2 linked regions of the Nothobranchius furzeri genome follow. The protein of the gene in region 1 purifies or fractionates together with the protein of each later gene. This does not show direct contact. Links are inferred from orthologs where the notes say so. Each region holds a gene or a part of one and is shown in the gene's direction. Other genes may lie near its edges.

What was found. Proteins that work in one complex are often made in the same cells at the same time.
Region 2: the proteins of polr2k (region 1) and polr3b purify together in Homo sapiens (affinity purification with mass spectrometry; 3 studies listed by BioGRID and IntAct, with this or other methods). This does not show direct contact. The link is inferred for Nothobranchius furzeri from reciprocal best matches to the Homo sapiens genes POLR2K and POLR3B.

The regions. Positions count from the first base shown.
Region 1 is NC_091759.1:1,441,091-1,443,734, forward strand, and holds polr2k (DNA-directed RNA polymerases I, II, and III subunit RPABC4), read left to right. Parts: upstream 1-1,148; 5' UTR 1,149-1,280; intron 1,281-1,484; 5' UTR 1,485-1,490; coding exon 1,491-1,551; intron 1,552-1,806; coding exon 1,807-1,899; intron 1,900-2,000; coding exon 2,001-2,023; 3' UTR 2,024-2,119; downstream 2,120-2,644. Other genes in the region: stk3 (serine/threonine-protein kinase 3), read right to left, coding at 591-613. UniProt on the Homo sapiens protein: DNA-dependent RNA polymerase catalyzes the transcription of DNA into RNA using the four ribonucleoside triphosphates as substrates.
Region 2 is NC_091744.1:73,552,060-73,555,716, reverse strand, and holds part of polr3b (DNA-directed RNA polymerase III subunit RPC2), read left to right. Parts: coding exon 1-98; intron 99-1,211; coding exon 1,212-1,365; intron 1,366-1,452; coding exon 1,453-1,527; intron 1,528-1,745; coding exon 1,746-1,844; intron 1,845-1,937; coding exon 1,938-2,065; intron 2,066-3,157; coding exon 3,158-3,367; intron 3,368-3,431; coding exon 3,432-3,590; intron 3,591-3,657. UniProt on the Homo sapiens protein: Catalytic core component of RNA polymerase III (Pol III), a DNA-dependent RNA polymerase which synthesizes small non-coding RNAs using the four ribonucleoside triphosphates as substrates.

The DNA.
Region 1 (2,644 bases):
TATAGAGTAAACATTACTTTCTGTAGGAGAACTTGAGTGTGTGTTTATAACTTAAGAGGAATGATGAAAATAATTGATGAAATCTAGATAAAAATACTGTTTAAAAAAATTTTGAGATATTTTTGGTCTTTGATCATAATCTGGATTTAATGCAACCTAGTATCAATGTACACAAATTAAACAGATAATAAACAATTTAATCCTACTGTCTTATAAAATTTAAATACATTTTAAATTTAATTAACTTAAAAGGTGCTAGCTTAAGCTAACCAGTAAATAGATCGGTCCAAAATAAAGTAAACAGTTACTTCGAATAAATTATGATTTTCCTTAATACACATTTAATTTATTATATATTTTTGAAGCGACAATGAAATCACCCCCAACGACGCGAAATCCAAAAACGTCTAAACAATTAAACAAACCATAATCTCAATGGAGGTTTTAACCGGTTTTGTGTTTTTACTTTCTGCTTGTTTATCTCTGTGGAAAGTTTGAGAGAACTGAATTCGCTTAGCATTAGCATCCTGAGCTACCGCCTACATTAGCCTGGTGGTAAAGCAGAGGTCTCAAAGCAAACGTTCACAAACCTTTTAGGCGCGGACGGCTCCATGGTACACCAACTCGGAAACAAAAGTCAAACAAAGTATGAAAAAGAGAGCGCGGGTTTGTCAGTGGTAGTCAAGACGTGGACATTGTCGGCAGATTCGTTGTTGTCACAAACTAGTGGAGGAGGGCCAGCTGGGGGGAGCTCTTCAAATGATGGACATTCTTGTGTTCGACGCTGCGACAGCGCCCCCTGTCGGGACGGAAGCGCACTTTACATTGTTTTATTTTACAAAAACACAATTACGAATCAGATTGACAATGTTTGGCTCGAGTCAAAAACAAAAACTCTAAATAAAGTCTAATTTATTCATAAGGTCCCAAAAGAATACTAAATTAAGCCAGAATTTGTAGCGTAACGGTAATTGAAAAATGAAACACCCGTGTTGTGGATTTGCTTTCAAGAGGATGTTGTGTCAAGACAGGAACATTTTTAGTATAAAATATACAAAAAAAAATTCTTTGCTTCCAATTTTTAAAATCAGTTCAGATGTGTTTCGAATAATTCACAATGCCTCAAAACCGCTGGGTGACAGTAAAGGCACGTAAAGCGTGTCGATCGTCCTGTAAAACCAAGAAGAAGAAATTTGACGCAAGCGCAGAAACCCAATCGTAAAAGCGGATGGTTTAGTGTGTGAAAACAGTAAACATTTCCCAAATTACGCAGTTAAACGGTGAGTCATTTCGCTTCCTTTCATCAGTAATTAACTAAATGCATGTACACGGTTTAATTTGTGCTCTGTGCGTATACAGTTTCACCAAATTCAGAGACGTTTATGCAGTTTTGAGCTAATGTCCGGAGCACCATGCTGTTTCTGTTAGCATGCTAACAAGAAGAAGGGTTGTTGATGAAATGTTTACATTTCTGTCTTTTATAGAACAAAATGGACACACAGAAAGATCTACAGCCGCCCAAGCAGCAACCAATGATCTACATTTGTGGAGGTTTGCTGATGAAGCAACTATCATTGCAATTCTTGATGGTTTTATTCACGAAATATAGAAAAGTCATCAGAAAAATACTAGTTATGACTAATTAAAACATATTTCTTATTAGTAAATATTCCATTTTAGCCTGACAGCATGTAAACGTCGATTGTTAATGTGTTTGCACAATTATACTGTTCTAAATTAATTTTGCAGCAGTTCTGAAATACATTTATATGTCTTTATAAATGTATATATTTTTTTTTTATGCAGAGTGTCACACTGAAAACGAAATAAAGGCCCGCGACCCGATCAGATGCAGAGAATGTGGCTACAGAATCATGTACAAGAAGAGAACAAAGAGATGTATCCTTTCTCTCTCTCTCTCGTGTGTGTGTGTGTGTGTGTGTGTGTGTGTGTGTGTGTGTGTGTGTGTGTGCTTATTTTCCTTGACTCATTGATTCCAGTGGTTGTTTTTGATGCACGATGAAGAGGAGTGGAGCTGCAGATTGATCTTTAGTTGTTGTTTTCTGTTTTTATTGAGTCTGACCTTGTAAATAAACATAAACTGGGGCTTCAGCTTTCATGTTGGTGTAGATTCTCGCTCATTCGGGTCGTGGCATTCCTAAATTGCACTTCTTGCTGAAACATCTTAGAGCAGCAAGATAAATTCAGCCTTTTTGGTTTTTGGCATCCGCGGTTTGTGTCAGGTGTTCCTTATGTTATTTTAGTAAATAATAATGATGCATAAAAGTTTTATTTTAGAAAAATCAGTTTGATTTGACTGTTTTCTTTTAAAATCCTTTGTGGCCAGCAACATTAACAGGATGAAAACTCTTCAGTTAGTTTAACACATCTGCTAAATAGATATGATCCACAGTCATTCCTGAAATAAAAATCAACCTTTAGGATTTAAATTCAAAGTTTTAACCACATTTCTCTAAGAAGGAAAATTCTCATCTGCTGGCCAACAATTCACAGATTCACCAATGTTTTTTGGTTTGTTTATCTGAGAGCACGTTGTCGTGTTTATTTTAAAATTTTCATAATCTTGTTAAATTATGGGGTCTCATTTCTAAGTGAGACTTGTTTTAATCAAACATGCAAGAGA
Region 2 (3,657 bases), on another chromosome or scaffold:
CATTATAAAACTGGCCTTCAACCTTGGGGTGGAAGACGTCAACCTGCTGTGTGGGGAGGAGCTCTCCTATCCAAGCGTCTTCCTGGTTTTCCTCAACGGTACAACTCCCGCCCTCCAATGGAGCTGAATTATTAAGCAGAATTAAGACCTCCTGCTGTTGCTTCAGATCATTTTTTAAAAGAAATGCTAATTCTTCTCGTTTTAAACACGTTTTGCTTCATAAACATGAAGAAGAAAATACTCTGTTTAATTTAGCAGAGGAGCTGATAAGTTTTTAATTTCATAGCAGCAGTAGGTGTTATTCTCTAGTCAAAACTCGGACATTTAATTACAGTATTTGTTTGTCTTTGCACTGATAACTGTCACATTATATTAGTTGCCATGCTCTTTAATTAGTCATTAGCAGCAGGTGCCGGAGCCCTTCAGGGTGCGTTCAGAGGCAACGTGCACACTGAGGTAGACCTCTGTTCTCCACCCGATATGAACAAGCCTCCTGCAGGAGGTTTAAACTCCACTCTCGCAGCAGGGCTCAGGGTGCAAAACCACGGCTCACGCTTCAAGTTTGGAGTCAGAATTTTGTGCTTTTTTTGAGTGAAAGGCTTTAAATTTTCTGAATCTTTACGCACATTATTACTATACGTGAAAGGAGACAGAAATGCTTACTCAGAAATGTCGTTTGCCGAAACGTTAAAGACACTGTTAAAGCTCTGAGCCGCCTGTGCTCTGTTTGAACTACCGGAAGAGAGCAGCAGCCTTGAGTTCAAGCACATCTGTGATCAAACAGTTGAATCGAGCTCTACTGCACACATTACTGTTTGTTGTAAAACATCTGTATTACTGATGGAAACTCCTGAATCCAGTGTCTCACTGGGCGGAGACTGTTGCTGACTAGTTTGCAAGAATTCATGCAGGATTTGTGCTGGAATTGGGTTTTGCAAGAAGTTTCAAATATGGCCGCCAGGTCATGAGAGGTGTGTAAGCAACAGTTAAGCCAAATTTTCTTTTTGAAATTTAGTCGCGAAGTGTTTCAATCTCTGTGCAGTTTGCCGTCGTTTTACGTGCAGCTCGATGCTCCTGCTCCTCCTGAAGTCATCTCGCTCGAATCGAGAAGCCAAATGTCCCTGTCGTCCTGACCGTGAGGTCTCCAGGCTTTCTGAAGACCACGGCTTTTCTTTTATACTTTGACCGCTCTCTCATGTTTGTGTCCACAGGAAACATTCTGGGTGTGATCAGAGACCATTACAAGCTGGTCAACACTTTCAGACTCATGCGCCGGGCGGGTTTCATCAACGAGTTTGTGTCCATCTCCACCAACCTGACCGACCGCTGCGTCTACATCTCATCTGACGGAGGTAGACTCTGCAGGTGGGCAAGGCTGGAAGAAACAAATATCTATAAATCTTGTTTTATTTTGCGTTAAAGGCTTCAAATGACTTTTCGTTTCTCCTGCAGGCCGTACATCATCGTGAAGAAGGGCCAGACGATGGTGAATAATAAACACATTGAAGATCTGTCTCAAGGCTACAGGTGAGAGTTGAGGTAGCTTCTTGGTAAACGTCAGCATTTAATTTAGTTAGGCAACACCGGGCCTAATTAAAAAACAGATCTATTATAAGACCAGACATAACCCCTTCTAATCTCTCTAGATGCATAAATTAGATTTTAGTCCATTTTTATCCTTAAACAGCCTGTTTTGATCATTTCTTTGATCATTGTAATGATTTTTTTCTTTAACTTGTCTCCAGAACCTTTGAGGACTTCCTTCATGAAGGCCTGGTGGAGTACCTGGATGTGAACGAGGAGAACGACTGCCAAATTGCTCTGTATGAACATATGATCAACAAGTGAGTAGAAACGTGAAAGCGGACATTTTGAAGCGCGTCCCTCCTTGTTTGTCTCAATCCTGGCATGCTGCTTTTTAAACGCCCTTTTTGTAGAGACACGACCCACTTGGAGATCGAGCCCTTCACGCTGCTCGGAGTGTGTGCGGGCCTCATTCCCTACCCCCACCACAACCAGTCCCCCAGGAACACGTACCAGTGCGCTATGGGCAAGCAGGCCATGGGTAAGCCTGATCTGAGCAGGTAGTTTCACATCGTACACACAGCTGAGCCGCTCCCTTTGTACGCCCAAACACACACACACACACTTGCAGTATTCTAATCTTACATGAACACCGTTTTCAAGCCTCCTAAATCTGCAGAGTTTAAACTTTTTATTTGCATGAGTTAAAAAGGACATTAGAATAACAAACAGGGTGGATACAAGCAGCCCTGCTGGTTCTTCATGAACAAGCTCTGCGGCTGCACCACTTCTTGTCAGAATACATTTGGATGTGTGATTGAGTGTGTGTGTGTGTGTGTGTGTGTGTGTGTGTGTGTGTGTGTGTGTGTGTGTGTGTGTGTGTGTGTGTGTGTGTGTGTGTGTGTGTGTGTGTGTGTGTGTGTGTGTGTGTGTGTGTGCATGGACATCAAACATGGGGCGCTTGCGTAGGTTTTCCTTTGTGCCGTGTGTGCGGAGGCCCTTTCCCTGCCAGTCACCCAGAGTGTCATTAGCAATTCATTGTGTCTGCTCTGGCTGTGCTCGGGGGGTCAGTGTGCTCAGCTGCAGAAAGCCCACAGAGTGTGCACCCCAAGCTCCCTGGTAACCAAAACTTCCCCAAACAGCCCGGCTAGCATTCGTAAGAGCTACACGCGCACGCACACACACACACACACACACACACACACACACACACACACACACACACACACACACACACACACACACAGATTGGCTGCTGCTTCACCTCCATCCATCCGCTCCTGCCCTCCCCCCACCTTTACAAAAACACTGACTGGAACTATATTTGGACTAATATCCTCTGTCCTGTCTGTTTTGTGTGGGCAGCTCTTTACATGTGCAAATCTGGTTGTGTGGCCTGAGCCTATTATCAGCCACTGAGCTTGTAGCCTGATTGTGAGGTAATAGCATCTGACAAATGTCAGGGCTTCCAGGGAGGCCAGGCTTTATGTCATAACTCTCCTGGGTCTTCCCCAGAGCCCCTTTGAAATTAGATTAAATGGCCAAACTGGAAATTACTTATTGATAATGTTTCAGGCTGTTTTAATGATTTATTCCTCATCCACTTTTTGTTTTTTTGTTTGTTTGTTTTTAGGAACTATCGGCTACAACCAGAGGAACCGCATCGACACTCTGATGTACCTGCTGGTTTATCCTCAGAGGCCCATGGTTAAAACAAAAACCATCGAGCTGATTGACTTTGAGAAACTGCCTGCAGGTCAGAACGCCACCGTGGCCGTCATGAGCTACAGCGGCTACGACATTGAGGACGCTCTGGTCCTCAACAAGGCCTCGCTGGACAGAGGTGAGAGCCTTTCTGCGTTATTTAACCCCAACCACAGCAGAAGGCTCAACTTGCCTCTTTTCAGGGTTTGGTCGGTGCCTTGTCTACAAAAACGCTAAGTGCACCCTGCGTCGCTACACCAACCAGACCTTTGATAAAGTGATGGGACCCATGCTGGACGCTGCCACGCGTAAGCCCGTATGGAGACACAACATCCTGGATGCTGACGGTATCTGCTCCCCTGGTGAGTAACAGCCACAACGGATGTTTAGGTGACAGCACCAGCTCAACAGGTTGAGCGGGCTGTCCAG